2 linked regions of the Styela clava genome follow. Each later gene encodes a partner of the first gene's protein in a complex. Links are inferred from orthologs where the notes say so. Each region holds a gene or a part of one and is shown on either strand. Other genes may lie near its edges.

Region 1 (7,338 bases):
AACCGTTCCCATCCCGTAATCTGTTTGAGCTGAAATATATTGGGTTTTAAGTAGGAATTCTTAAACGAAATCTCGGCGGCTAAATGGTAATGCTATTGAGCAATATTTCTAGTTACTTATCGATCTTAAGATCGGTAAGTCTGTTAATAGATATTTGTCTGTTGGTTTGTTTCAGTATACAGGCGCGGCGATGTGGCTTAACGGGCTAAGCGTTAGGAATACGCTCGCCACCGCACCTCTAATTACTCTGCGTGGGTTCGCAGGTTCGAATCCCATGCAGGGATGGTTATGTGCGAGAGGATTGCTAGACTCCTCGCCGTCGTTGGGTGGTTCACGTAACCGCTGGTCGGTTACGGCTTCCTCCACCACCAAGTCCATGCTTCCGAAAACAAACAATACAGTAAAACTATTCCAATACCCGACTTGGAATGGTAACCGGACGAGAGGCCGTGGTTCGCCATATGGATGGTCTTATCGGCTTTCCTCCCCCCCCGGGATAAATATGTAAATCCTATCCTATCCTTTATGCTATTGCAGAGGCGTAGCTTAGGGGGGGCAGTGGGGTACATATGCCCCCGGGCGCCAAGGTACAGGGGCGCCAAAATGGGGCTTGCAAACATTTCACAAGGGTAAAAAAACGGTCACAAGCAAGATCGTTAGGTTCTTGCCTGCGCACTCCGATGTAAGTTGATATTAGTCCTGTGGTGGAGACAAATGGAAACGAAATTTGGTTGACTGATGTTAATACATGTTTTGAGTAATACGTGGTTTTGTATTTCGTTGTTGTCAAAATACCGTACTTTGCGGCAGAGTTACATAAAATATATTATACTGTGCTAAAAGACCCCAATGCTGTTTTCGACAATTCGTCGAGATTGCACAGATTTTGCAAATTTCTACGATACGGACATCAATGGCCGCGAACTTTTCACCGAAATTGGAGATTGCAGAATGCTGCTCAGTAACAGAACTGTAGGTCAACCAGAAACTCCTTTGGCTCTTGTTGGTTTTATTGTGTCTTCTGGAGACGACGTTTTACCCAATCTGCGAATTTCTCTACAATTTTTGTTAACAATACCAGTTTCAATTGCAAGCTGTGAACGGTCTTTCAGCAAATTGAAACTTATTTTGTCGTATTCGCGTGCATCAACGGGACAGGATCGTCTCAGTGATCTTGCACTTCTAAGTGTTGAAAGAGAAACAGATTTTGATGACGTGTTAACCAGTTTACGACAGTGAAATTGAAAAAAATGAATTTATTGTAGACTATGCAAATCATCTTTGACAGTAACTGAGTGGGACATATGCTCTATTTTGTATAGCTTTGCTTCTTCTTTAAATAAAATGTTCCATTAAAATTTGAATTTACATATACATATATTTTTGAATAAATAATAAAATATATAAATACATATAAATTTGAATTCACATATCGTCACGGTAATAACCGAATTGCGTAAGTCATTTTTGGCGGTTTTGAGTTTTTCATAAAATAGGTATTTATATAATGCTGCGCACCTGTCTGTTAACTCAGATTTTATTTTAAGAATTCCGAAACCCATAAAAATAGAGATTTTGTATAATATGCAAATTTGTTCAATTGCTCCGTCATAATGAATTATCTTTGTTAACGTAGGACTATTGTGACGTCACAAAGGCAAAATAACCTCGGCGAAGGATTTTCGAATTTTTGCATCTCAGATTCTAGCTTAGCTCCAATAATTTTGATTTTATACTACTGTATAGAAAGGCGTGCACTTGTGATATTCACTGTCTGAGTCCAATTCACCTTGGTTGACTTTTATATAAGGGTACATTGCTGTTTTATTCTTTATATTTAACTTTAGTCTTATTTCGGTGATGTGCAGAGCGTGTTATATTGATGAAATAAATATTTTTAAACATAAAAAATAATGTAATTGAAACAGATTAGCTATTTTGGGGATTTTGGATTGTTTGGTTTTCAGGACTGGTACATATAGTCAAGTTGCAAAATTGCGTATGTCCCCTAGTCATAGACACACTTTTGCCTAAGTCACAGTGCGCCATTATGACGTCACATGACTGCGTCATACAAATTAACTTAAATCCGGCTACGATCAAAAAGTTGAACTATGGCAAATTAATGGCATAGCAATATCATTAGGAAGTTTTTTTTACGTTTTTCTCAAAACAGCTAAAAATGACTTACGCAATTCGGTTGTTAGCGTGACGATATATAATTTGTTTTTACATATAAAATTAAATGCAATAGAAACATGATTAAACGTGGGGGTCGGGGCGCCAATTTTATATTTTGCCCCGGGCGCAAAATATGCTGGCTACGCCTCTGTGCTATTGGCATTGTAAATACTTCATTTCAATACAAAAATAATTTCCTTGTTGTAAGCGAAAAAGTCATGAATGAAAGGGTTAATTGTGGTCCATTTTAGCTTACCAGGCTTATCCATGGAATGGGAAACGTCCCATGGGATGAGACAACACACTTTGTATTTCTCATGAGACACTCATTTTTATATAAGATTATTGGAAGAATAGACACATGTTTCTACCGCTAAAAGATGATGCGAAAATTGTTCTGGCCGTACCAGTGTCATCTGCGGCAGTAGAGCGTTTATTTATGGGCCGACCAGTTTGTTTTTGCGCAATCTACGACAACGGATTTACCTTCTCTTCATATGTTCATATTCATGTTCATATTCATATGTATTGGGGGGAATGGGATTAAATTAAAAAATGATAAACAAAAACATGGAAACAAAAAAATATCTATTTATATATTTATAATAAAATGATTTGATACCAAAATATTAATACGAAAATTCCGTTTGGCATTGGAATTTATTTGGCACAAAAAAAAAAAAAAAAGGATTTACCTTCTCTTGTTATCACTCTGATTACATCAGATTTGCGTGTAAAATGAAAATATAGGAAATGGTTCGGAATCAGAACTCATCCGAATTAACAGAATTAGTAACAGTCGATGAACAGGAAATTAATGATTTGCAGTAGAACGAGAGTGTCATTCTGAATTGTCGTAGTTCAGTAGTTATCAGACACGGAGTGGACCTATGGATCGTTTTGTTATTATGTTGTTGTTCTTATTGTTGCTCTTCTTCTTGGCATTAGAATTTTTCTTCCTATCGTTATGAAAAAATCACCTTTCTCTTTACTTACTGGACCAAATGCATTTCATCCAAAATTTCGCTGTATTATTTTTTACCTTACTGCCTTATGCTGTTATGGGAACACGGTTTTAAAAACTGAATTAATTAGTACCGGTACCGGTAGTCTATATGGAGAAGGGGTGGGCAACATTTTTTAGTATAAAAGCCGCATGCAGCGAGTCAGAAATATGTGAGAGCCGCATAATTTTTGAAATTATTGATATTAGTGATCATTAAATCATTTTGCATTGTAACTGTTACATTGATACTAATTTGGATTTGGGCTATTGACTGCGACAACATCAGCAATATTTTTTTTCACAAAATACAGCCCCAGAGTATCGGTGTTTAGCATTTTAAATTTAAAATAAAAAACATGGAAACAAAGGACTGTGTTTTTAAAATAAAATGATTCGATTCCAAAATATCAATATGAAAATTCCCTTTGCCATTGGAATTTATTTGGCACAAAAAAAAAAGATACTACAGTACTAACCTAGGCCCTACTATTTCCGTGTAAACTCAGAAGAACACAAATTTTGGGATTGACATCACTGTATTAGGTCACACTGTCATAGGTTCGTCGCTTATAGCATTCAAACAATCTTTGGCAAAGCATCATTCTTTGCTATCTTAGATGTACTAGGCCCTACTTTATTATTGAAATACACCGGTGTGGCTCGCCGTGCCAAGCGTTAGGAATACGCTCTATGATCCACCGCATCTGATTACTCTGCGTGGGTTTGCAGGTTCGAATCCCATGCGAGTGAATCGCTGAACTCCTCGCTGTCGTAGGGTAGATCACGTAACCGCTGGTCTGTTACGGCTTCCCCCACCATCAAGTCCATGCTACCGGAAAAAAATAACTAATCCCATACCCAACCGACATGAAATTGTAAACGGACGAGAGGCAGTGGTTCGCCATATGGTTAAGTCATCTTATCAACTTTCCTCTCCCCCAGGAGAAATATGTAAATCCTATCCTATATCTGGATATGCATACAAATGCTGAAAGATTTCCAAAGCGATAGTCATAAGCTATAACAGTATAAAGCTCTACATCAATATATTAAGGTATTTTTACTTTTTAGATTAAATAATACAAAACTTTCTGAAATTTAAGACCTAACCTACCGGTATTATCATTATGGAAACTGATCCACTTGTTCGAAGACGTTCATCTGCTGCACCAGTTAAAGTAAAACCATGTGAAGTTGGAAATCCTCGTAGTTTGAGCCATCGTCTTATCATTATTGCTTTGATGTGTTTTCTAAGTTTTGGAAGTTATTTCTGCTACGACAATCCTGCTGCATTACATGATGAAATTGTGAATGATTTGGATGTAAGTGAAAGCACTTTTATGTCGCTTTATGCTTGGTATTCATGGCCAAATGTTGTCCTCTGTTTTTTTGGAGGATTTCTCCTAGATAGGGTTTTTGGTGTTCGCCTTGGCAGCCTCATTTTTAGCATGCTGGTTGTTATTGGGCAATTAATTTTTGCTACTGGAGCACTGGTACACAAAATATGGTTGATGGACCTAGGACGTTTCATATTTGGTATTGGTGGAGAATCATTAGCTGTCGCCCAAAATACATATGCTGTTCTCTGGTTTAAAGGAAAGGAATTAAACTTAGTGTTTGGTTTACAACTCAGCATGGCTCGGATTGGAAGCACCGTGAATATGAACCTTATGGTACCAATTTATGATATGGTTAATGAAAAAATGAAGGACCACAATAAAACCTTGGGTGTTTCTCTATTTATTGCTGCTCTGACTTGTTTGTTCTCGTTGACATGTGCAATTAGTTTGGCGTATTTAGACAAACGTGCTGAAAAAATATTGAATCGTAAAAAGAATGAAGCTGAAGAAGCTGTTAAACTAACGGATGTTAAAGACTTTTCAATTCAGTTATGGCTTGTATTTGCCATCTGTGTGGCTTATTATGTAGCAGTATTTCCTTTTATAGGTTTAGGAAAAACGTTTTTTCAAGAAAAGTTTGGATTTTCTTCATCGAGCGCAAGCGCAGTGAATAGTATTGTATATATCATGTCCGCACCTTGTTCACCGGTCCTAGGCTTTATTATTGATCGGGTTGGTCGTAATTTGTTCTGGATTTTATTTGCTGTTGTTTTAACTCTTGCAAGTCATGGTTTATTAGCATTTACCTTTATCAATCCATGGTTTGCCATGACGTTGATGGGATTTGCATATTCTGTGTTAGCATGTGCACTGTGGCCACTTGTAGCATTTTTAGTACCTGAGCATCAACTTGCCACAGCCTATGGCTTTATGCAATCAATACAAAACTTGGGTTTGGCTGTCATATCGCTTGCCGCTGGTAGTATTCTCGACAGTAAAGGATATTTCATGTTAGAGATATTTTTTTGTATGTGTATCAGTGTTGCTTTAATATCTGCTTTGCTTTTGTACATCATTGATTTTGGTCGTGAAAGTGGCCTGAATGCTTCTGCCAAAGAACAAAATGCAAAACGTGCTCTCGAAGAAGCAGCAGAAGAAATTGCAAATGCTTCTGTTGATATGCAACCAAGAATTAAACCAATGACTGCATTTGGTTTGAGAAATCGTTATTATTCAAGAATCGGTGCAATTATTCCTGAACACTTAGTTGCTCACACTAACGTGTCACATCACGGACATGATGAATAGAATTTTTTATTATATTTTGATTTTCTTCCATTTTTGATGAATTTTAATGCAATTATGTGTATCGTAATATTCCAATGTGATTACTGCATCATATCATGACACCTGTTATATTTTGCAGAACATTTTTTAATATAACAGTGCCCATATGTCTCATTGCTACAGATCTCCATCTCTGAAATAACAACCTCGAATTCCAAAATTTTTGTTTATGATTATTCATCTGTAATGCTTACATAGTTATACAAAATATCTCCTAAACTTTGTACTATTAGTTATACCGTACTTTTTCATGCATCAATTTACAAACCAATCTTGCCATTTGTTATGTAGCATTTTTCTGTGCTTCTATCATTGTGTCTTGTAAAAATTTATCATTTTTTTTATAGATTACCATCTAGCTCCTATTTTAAATCTGATATGGCTGGAAACTTCTGGCAGAGTTCTCATTGCAATCAATGGATACTTACGCCGCAAGATCTCACTCGAGAACGAGCAGCTGATTTCAAAGTTTTAACGGAAGTTGAATATAACAAAGTGATGATTTTTTATGCCAATGTAATCCAAGCAATTGGCGAACAATTAAAGCTACGCCAGCAAGTTATTGCTACGGCAACTGTTTATTTCAAAAGGTTTTATTGCAGACATCCATTACGAAGCTGTGACCCACTTCTTTTAGCTCCAACTTGCATTTTTCTTGCTGCGAAGGTGGAAGAGAGTGGCGTGGTATCAAATTCACGGCTTATTGCTGCAGTCGGAAGTGTCATCAAAAATAAATTTGGCCATGCGTTTCAAATGGATTATAACTACAGAATAACCAGTGTTTGGGAATGTGAATTTTTTCTCCTGGAATTAATGGATTGTTGTTTAATTGTGTATCACCCATATCGTCCATTATTACAATATGTTTCAGACATTGGACACGCTGATTTATTGTTACCAGTTGCTTGGCGTATTGTAAACGACACATATCGTACGGATGTCATATTGTTATATCCACCTTTTCAAATTGCTCTCGCATGCCTGCATATTGCATGTGTTATACAGAGTCAGTTAGAGGTTGCAAGACAATGGTTTGCAGATTTAAATGTTGATATGGAAAAAATTATTGAAATTACAAAAATTATATTACAACTTTATGATTTGTGGAAAAACTATAACGAAAAAGAAGAAATTTCTTCCATTTTAGAAAAAGTTCCTAAAGCTTGTGTCACACCAAGTGATTATAACAGAGATGATCGCATGGCTATAAAGGGTAAAGGAAAAGGGTAACCTTTGATTAAACTAAATTAAAGCTCGGTATCCGTTTTTCCATCAATAAGAGAGGTTCAAATTTTATATACGTTGCAAAGTATGGGTATATCTCAACTTCAAACAAGGCCATGTATCTGAAACAAATAGATGGACACAAGGGAGGGTCAAAGTTTATCTACGTTGCAAAGTATAGGCATGGCTCAACTTCAAATCAAAGACATGTATCTGAAACAAATAACTGGCCAACTAATA
Region 2 (8,872 bases), on another chromosome or scaffold:
GGTTTCGGTACTCCCTTAGTGTGTGTACCAGGTTAGGGTTAGGCCATAACATAAGTTTATTCCGATTTTACTCATTTTAGTTCTAATATGAGTTCGGGAACTGTCTGTGTTAACCAAGTGAATATATTGACAATGTACCTTGATCCATTTCCTCGGCTCATTAATGACTCAAGAATAACTTCCCATTCAGATGAGTTTGCGTTATGAGGTAACGATGGTAATATGTCAGATTGTCCATTTGACTTAAATGGAAAGAAATTGATAGACAAAGAACTGTTCATTGAAAAACTTTTTGGATATTTCAATGTTGTTCCCTGAAATAAATAACAGAATGTATGAAATATTTTAAAATTTTTTTAATTAATCTGAGGGAAAGTCCAATACAGTAATAATTATGAATTTTCAGAATAAAATTGACATTTTGACATCAGACAGTTAAACTGAAAACAGGCTAGCTTCTTACAAAATATATTGAAAATAGTAAATTATTCGGTAATCTTCAACTCTGAATCACAATTCAAAAACGTCATAAATGATGATTCAACAATCAACTTGCAAAACTGAGATAAACTGATTAAAGATGAACATACAAACATACTTTTAATGTTGCAGGCAATGACTCAGTGATGTTAACGTCCCACACCATGTCACTCAGCAAAATGGGTGTGAATTGCCAACTTGCATTAAAAACTGCTTCATCAGTAGAATCGTTGTATTCCAGCAACTAACATAAATAGAAAAATTAATAATTAGGAACATATATACATTATACACGTGCTTGAAACTATAGATTAGAATGGCATATTTCAATATCACTGAATAAATTCAGACAGCTGAAGCTTTTGAGTTTAGATTCCGAGATCACGACTCAGGTTCTATCCTTGATGTAGACCCCTGAAACACTGTTTAATTTGTAATGTAGACTTTTTATTGGGACTTGTTTTCAGTTGGATATATTTCATGATTGTAATTGTGCGGACTTCAAAAAAGAGAAATTTGTGGTACTCTCGTAGTATGTATGTGTACCAGGATTAGGCATATTTTATTCTGATATTCCTTATTTCAGTTCTATTACGAGTCGGGGACTGTTGGCCAAGTGAATATACCCCCTGCCCATAGGTTTCAGTCCATTTACACAACTTGATGTGAAGTAGACTAGGCAGACAAAATTAGTTATCTCCATATTGGTACACACACTTCTGGAGCACCAAATTTGTTTTGTATAATTTACATTACTGGTATAAGCAGCATTTGAATAATCATTCACCTATTGCAGAGATCGCACTACAGATGTGGAAACCTCATAACAAGCCGTCAGACTGTGGTATTAAACTTGGCTTAATTTTAGCTGAACATGACTTTTGATGGAACATGTCACATGACACTGAGCAGAGCAAGTAATTAATATTCAGTTAGACTTCTCCATCCTCCTGAATTTTGTTTTCAATAAAAAATATCTACCCTATCAAAAATGATGACATTTTCTACATCAACATCAACTTCTTCTGTGAGATTCTCGGATACAAGTTTGACAGATCCAAATGTATCTTCTAAATTTGGGAGCAGAAATTTTGTCCAGTTAACACTCAGTATTGCACTTTCGTCATTTGATCGTAGTAGGAGAATTGAGGGAGGCGATGGACCAACAGTTGATAAAATGTAATGTAGACTGTCATTCTCGCCCTGTTCGGAACAAAAAATGAGCATATTGGATAGGATAAGATTTACATATTTATCTTGGGGGTGAGGAAAGTCGATAAGACAGCCTAATCATATGGCGAACCATAACCCCTCGTCCGGTGACCAGTCAATGTTGGGTATGGGATTAGTTAGCCAGGTATATGTTTTCGGAAGAATGGACTTGATGGTGTGGGAAAGCTGTAACTGACCAGTGGTTACGTGGACCATCCTACGGCGAGCAATCCTCTCACACATAACAATCTCTGGATGGGTTTCAAACCTGCAAACCCTTGCAGGATAATCAGAGGTGTAGCCGCGAGTGTATTCCTAACGCTTAGCACGATGCGCCACACCGCCTGGCTGAAAAGGATTGGCTGAAAGTTATAATTGACAATGAATGTACAACATATAAAACATTTACTGACTAATTTATTATAAAATAAGTTTAGTTTAATGCCTACATTATCTTGTTAAGTCCAAAGTCAAGAATATTTCCTTTGACTAAAAATATGCTAGGCCTGCTAGTAACAAATCACCACTGCCACTAAAGCAAAGTACCATCGAGACAATTTTGATGCTTTTAATTCAGGAGAAATATTTATTGCAGAATATTTCGAAATACATTTACAGAAGTCAAAATTATACAAAAAATTGTATTGAGCAACCAACTCTATCAGAGATCACCAACTTATCATACCTGTGCTCTTGCATATATCAAATTGACCGTGGAATCTGTTGTTGTAGAATTGCACTCAATTATATTGCACCCAGGATTGTAAAACAGTTCAACCTGAACAAAATAAAGAAAACAGCATTTTTATAGTCCAATAAAATGATCCATAAATTAAAAAAATATTGACAAATATAAAAATACCAATAGCTGGGGAATAAATATTTTATAGTCAATCTCCAATTTTTTGCGTTTCTGAGAACATAGGTCACTTTCTTTGTAACTACTTAAACAAGTGGGTGCAGTGATTGAGGTATCGACTTCACCACCCCATCAAGGTTGTAATGAATTGGGTAAGCGATGCCAGATTTCTGTCCTTCCAAACTATAGCAGCTTGCTAGCTAGCTGTGGCTGCTTGTAAAGAGCTCGAAAACCATAGTATCAAGCAGAGCTTGAAACCAAAGTATCAAGCAGAGCTTGAAACCAAAGTATCAAGCTGAGCTTGAAACCAAAGTATCAAGCTGAGCTTGAAACCAAAGTATCAAGCAGAGCTTGAAACCAAAGCATCAAGCTCGAAAGTATTGCCAAAACCGAATACCCTACTACTCTAATTATATTCTGAAATACTATTTTCTAATATGGAATATACATATTTGAGGAGCAGTCTACATGCTCAACAGAGAACAAACAAAACCCAATGCCCCATATTCTTTATTAATAAGTAAGAATTTGAAACGCGAGAAAATTACCACAAATATACGTATATCAATGACCTGCAAATTGTTCGGAAAAAGAAAGAAGGCGATTCCCACCATACTCTGATCATCATTTAATTAAATTGGTACTTCTCATAACTACAGTTCTAAACTATTCAGCCATTTTGAAAAGCACTGAACATAATCAATTTAATTAATTAACTCATTCATGATCTACAAATAGCATGTTATAATACTTTTACAGAATATACATATTATATGCATTGCTGTAATATTTTTGAGAAATAGGTTACAAAACGAGATAGGAACAACATAAATGACACAAATAGTGAGGAAATTGTTTCTTGAATCATTGTTGCATACAGGAAAGTGGACAAAAATGGGTCGCAACACATTTAAAACTCCCAAAGAAGGTTAGGAACCAAAAAGTTGAAAAGTTTCTCACCTTTCTTTTAAAATCAGCCTTCTTTGCTAGAATTCCATCTTCAGATAAAATTGTCAATACAAATATTAAAATACTAAAAGCATTTGTGCTGTTAAACAGCACCATATTGAAATTGAAAACTGCAAAAAAAGATGAAATTTTTATTTCAAATCATTTTCAAAATATTACCATACCATAGGTTACCGGTTTCGAAAAACAAGATGCATACACAATCACTGAAGGCAACTATGAATTTCATTATCGAATCATGCTTTGTCGAACTTGACCAGTATTACAGTTTTTTCCAATAAACAAGGTTAACAAGCGAGTGCCCTAGGCTTTAGAATGATCCAAGCTTCAAATCTATTCAAAGCTATTTTTTTAAGTTTAGATGTCTGAATCTACTGCATTTTTCGAACATTTTTTTGACAAAAAATCATGAAATATCGTCACTTATAGAGAGAATTCTTTTTTTTAATTGAAAGACTAGTATTGCAAAACAGCAACACATTTAGATATGTCCTATCTGCTTACAAAAAGTTTATCATTGATAAATTGACATTTTTATTTGTGGTATATGAACTGAAGTTTCAAACACTATTACTAGTTCATTAGCAAATAGCTAAATTGAAATATACAGTAAATTGAAATCGAAATTTTGAAATTCATAGTTGCGGGAAAACAGCAAGCATTGATATAAAGTAAAAACTCATTTAATACCAGAGCATTACAGCACTATGCATGGCAAGTGAAAAATCAAGGATAAATTTCAAAAAAAAAATTGGTAGGATAACTTAACTTGCCAAGCATAATGTAATAATAACTCCACAGGTTTATAGCTTGAACATTGTATATAAAACGAGTCAATGGAGAAAGCTGTTCACCTTATTACATAATCCAGTTATGAAATCGTTATCAAAACAACATACTCCAGAAAAAGACTGAAAATTTGGTGTTACACTTTATCTAAGACCCGTAATCGGCAATATTGAAATAATCAACAGTTTCATCAAAGTGGGACAAAATACCTGGGAATGACTGACTTCATGTAAACATTAAGTTTTGCATTTAAGCTGATATAAATATACAGTTACTAGTCGAGTAACTAAGAAAATCTTACACGGAACATTAAAATCACATAACACCTCACATGTTTATAACGCTCGAGCATCGTGCCGGCGAAGACATCAATCAGTGTAACTTAGGTACAAATCGATTACACTTTTTGGAGAAGAAAACAAAGCCAAACAACACTCGAGTGCAAATTATTGTAGGAAAAAAATTTAATCGCTATCAACGACACCGTACAAAAATGGATAAAAAGCACACATAGGCCGCTCGAAGACAGAGAAAGTGAGAGAGAAATCGTTACTGTACTCCCGAGTAACACAGTGGGCCGGTAATATTAGTTATTGTCGGCAGATCAGTTGAAAATGAATAAGAATTAATGATAAAAATGCGAAAAGCGCACATTGTAAGACCTTGCGTAGTCAGAAAAATTCCTAACTCTAATTCAATAACAATAAGAAAATACCGTAAGTCAAATTATGAACCATTGGGCTAAGTAATTCTGACAATGCTCAAGCATCAAAGCATGTATGACAGTTATAATCAAATATTTATATCCTAAGAAAACTTTGGGAAAAAACACCTTTATTTCACTTACCAATTCATATGCAGACTTGGTATGGTTATACAATGAATTGTTTTAACAAAATTTATGTATTCCAAGTTCTTATACAGTTTTCGCTGAAACGTACTTTAAATAAGGCAAAAACAGAATTCATGTAATGATTTCAGGTCAATTGTATCGAATATTTGAACTAGGAAAAATGCAGAGAAAAATCAAAATCGAAAAACAGCATGTCATTTAGACAGAAACATTTCTAACTTTGCCGAAATTAGAAAACCAAAATCTATCACAATAAACAAGCCAATGAAATGAATTATCTGCATTAATTACAAAGTAATATTAGAGAACACGATACATGAACGGCGTCGATTTGTATATGAATTAAAGTCAAATGGACATCAAACATTTTATACAGATATCGAAGGACACTGAAAACAAATGAAACTGAAAGACAGGAAGGAAAGAAAATGCCAAGAGTCGCCCAGTCGGTATTCAAATCGCAAGAGTGTAGATAAGTAATCTACAAATCAAAATATTGGGTCTGACAACTGATTGCACTTTTGGCATTCCCTTGCCGGAACTCATAATAGTTATCACGGGGAAATTAGGTAGAAAAGATTGCTAGACGCTTGATACAATGTCTCGCTTGAAAGAGGTGCTGAATTTACAGTCTGAACAATAATAATAAATACACCAGAACAGATGGTATTAGCACAATTTCAACTGGTGGCAAAAAGGAAATAGTGATAAAGTCCAAGTATTTTAAACAGCTATCCTTTATAAGAAAACTGTGACTGAATTGTATACATTTTAGTAAATAGCTAGCAAATGATCACCGTCGACCAGGGAAATTATTAGGACGTTGACCTTCCCTTGACCCACCCCAGTCTCTTCGTGGTGGACCACGTTGTTGTAAACGACCACCGCGGTTATTATCTCGACCAGATTCCCACCGACCTGGACCGGGTCTTCGTCCACCATCGCGTGACATCGCTCTCTGCTTCTTTTCTTCGATGTTAATTCTCTTATTATTCTTGAATGTAGTCGGCATCAAACGTAGAACTTCCTCCACAGCTTTGTGATCTTCAAAGATTATGAAACCAAAGCTTGGATTGCTCGTATTCGAATGATTAATTCGAATTTCAACAATTTCACCATATTCAGAAAAGTGTTCACGCAGATCGGATTCCGTAATTTCCAGAGGAAGATTTCCAACAAAGATTTGCTGGTTATCGGGATAACGACTTTGACGTCGTCCGCCCGGATCTCCCATGCCTTCACCCGAACCATCTCGCTGTGAAGTCACCGGAGGTCTAGAACTACGAACTTGTTGCTTTTGCTGATCCATGGACGGGCCATCATTCGATTGGTTAACTTTAACAACGGTGCCTTGCTGAATGTTGTGCTGTGCTGGTGTATTTTTCGATGCCAGAGCAGCCCAAGAGTACGGTTGAACAGGTTCAGGTTCCTTATGTGGTACAGAATTCATGTTGTCTGTTGGTTCTGGTATATCTTTTTCTGCAGTTTCTTCCAATTGAGGTTCTTCATTCTCATTTGAGATGGGATAGACTGGAGATTCGTTACGAGGTTCAATGTCGACAGGTTCAGTATCTTGAGCGTGGTCAGATTCGGTTTCAGATTCAGGATGATTTGGGGGAGAAATTGCCAAAGCAGGAGAATCTTGATCATCAGAAGTGACAGGTTGAGAATCCAAACGAGGTTCCAGATCATTATTGATAATTTGAGCAGCCTGATTTTGAGAGCCAATATGGTTGTCAAATTGTGTTGGTTGGGGTGGTGGTTGTTGTACATTTACCTCCTCATCCAACTCTTGCTCTTCCTCAAGATGTTCCTGACGTCCTTCATCTTGATACACCTCATCTTCATAACGAAATATATCATTATGAACATAAAACTTGTATGGGTTATCCCCCTGGGGTGCCAAAACAAAGGTCTGCATAAACCTACGCAGAGGCTTGCGATTGTTGGAAAGCTCACCAATCACTTGTACCACAACCCCGTTGCTGATGGTAGCATGAGCGTCGACTTGGTATACTTTAGTATGGCATTCCTTGAATTGCAATGAAGTGATCTTCTTATGAATTGCCATCTGTCCAACAACCTCTTCTTCTGGCTCTCCATTGCAATACCGGCTTCCATGCACATAAGACGAATTCACTCCATAGAACCTGTGTAGTATTTCTGGTGCCTTGTTCAGAAGGGAATAATATTGGCGCACAAATTCCCTCCCTACCTGGAAAGGACTTGGATGATCCATTCTTACCATTTCTTGATGAAAGTTTCAGAGTTTGAAGCAAAATTAGTGTATGTGCACCAAATTTTTTTTGTTTTGTTCCTATTTTCAAATTAAAAAGAAAATAGATTAGGGTATGACTTCAGTCTTCAATATAAATTACAAACATTAAATGTTGTTGCCTAAATATGGATAAAGTGAAATCAGCAGGTAAAAATATCTAACACATTGATTTGATTGCATCTCAAGATTTTTCAAATTTTAAATGATCATTTAACTGGTGACCAGTAACTTTTGATTTCCACACATAGCTTTGTTTGCTAAGGTTCAGTTGAGAGTTATAAATAAAAATTTAATGAAATATAGGAATTATTGAATCAAGAAAACAAATGCAAAAACCTTCATCGAATTTAGTAAAATAGGAACACTGTACATAAGTAAGTGCACTTATTAACTACGTTTCGGTTCCTTATAATCGAGCTGAATATCTGATCAAATTTGTATTCTATTTGACAAATGATAACTAGTGCAAAATTTCATTTTGTGCAATGCAATGGCAGAGTTAAAGCCAAATTAAAAATAAAGGTATCGCAAAAAAGTTGTTAGAAGTGCATTTTATAAATTCGAGTTTTGGTTTAAATTCGCTTCATGAAAATTTAAAGGTAGGTCTCATATCGCTACACATTATGCAAATTGGCATTATGTAAATTGGAACATATTTGAAATCTAATTAATATTCAAGCGTTCATGAAAATATTAGTATTCTGAATTTACAGTTTTTTTCAATCCATGCATCTTCATTTGGAATAAAAATTATGTAAAGAGCGCTAACAGACTACAGGACTAAGTCAGTAAGTCTCAGGTTTGGGGGAAATAAAAATAGAGTTTGTATACAAAACCATCCGATCAATGCTCTATATAAAATGATTTTACTAAGTTCAGAAACATTTATGAAAAGCCATATTTTGAATGTCATTAGCTTACAAAATACAATCGGTACCATAGGGTGGTGTAGCCAGTCTGCGGACGATTTCATTCAAACCGCTATAAAACAAAAACCAATATTTCTAACCCGTTAATTTTTTCACCGTAGGTGCATTGGCATTTATTCTACACGCTGAACTTCGAATTAACTTTCTACGACCAGGGGTTAAGGCTATACAAACCACCAAAGTACGACACTCTGAAGACGTATTTGCGACCGAACGACCAGTGTGCGACCACGGATTTCAAGCCTTGAACATCGTTTCTGATGCGTCGAGACTAGGGCATACGCAGCCATGCGTGAAAAAATGGGCTTCTAATTGCATTTCTGACCGTCATATATTTTAAGAACACGGGTATTTCGAACAAAATTCTTCAAATTATAAACAAAGCACCGCATCACAGCAATCAAACAGACAAAAACACCGTGGTCGCAAATTAGTTGACAAAGATATTATTGACGTATTGGAAATGCGCACCCCCCTACTCCCCCTCCTTTGAAGGTAGAAAC

Evidence for each region.
Region 2: the proteins of lysosomal dipeptide transporter MFSD1-like (region 1) and glycosylated lysosomal membrane protein A-like are in contact, whole or in part, in a cryo-EM structure (PDB 8R8Q), measured with the Mus musculus proteins. The link is inferred for Styela clava from reciprocal best matches to the Homo sapiens genes MFSD1 and GLMP. Residues at the interface, in NP_080089.1 of Mus musculus: Val288, Glu292, Lys293, Arg295, Phe349, Phe351, Leu411, Asp412, Lys414, Gly415, Tyr416, Leu417, Leu418, Val421, Ile424, Ser428, Leu432, Val435, Leu439; in NP_064387.1 of Mus musculus: Glu250, Asn252, Ser253, Ile254, Asp255, Asp256, Glu257, Pro260, Ala261, Phe263, Gln264, Arg292, Phe364, Leu367, Val368, Ile371, Met372, Ala375, Ala378, Leu381, Met382, Gly385, Phe389.

What each region holds. Positions count from the first base shown.
Region 1 is NC_135255.1:10,307,444-10,314,781, forward strand, and holds lysosomal dipeptide transporter MFSD1-like, read left to right. Parts: upstream 1-4,238; 5' UTR 4,239-4,314; coding exon 4,315-5,835; 3' UTR 5,836-6,222; downstream 6,223-7,338. Other genes in the region: cyclin-C-like, read left to right, coding at 6,253-7,104. UniProt on the Homo sapiens protein: Lysosomal dipeptide uniporter that selectively exports lysine, arginine or histidine-containing dipeptides with a net positive charge from the lysosome lumen into the cytosol.
Region 2 is NC_135252.1:4,643,446-4,652,317, forward strand, and holds the start of glycosylated lysosomal membrane protein A-like, read right to left. Parts: upstream 3,650-8,872; 5' UTR 3,617-3,649; coding exon 3,512-3,616; intron 2,471-3,511; coding exon 2,378-2,470; intron 1,684-2,377; coding exon 1,462-1,683; intron 725-1,461; coding exon 599-724; intron 315-598; coding exon 139-314; intron 1-138. Other genes in the region: ras GTPase-activating protein-binding protein 1-like, read right to left, coding at 5,956-7,410. UniProt on the Homo sapiens protein: Required to protect lysosomal transporter MFSD1 from lysosomal proteolysis and for MFSD1 lysosomal localization.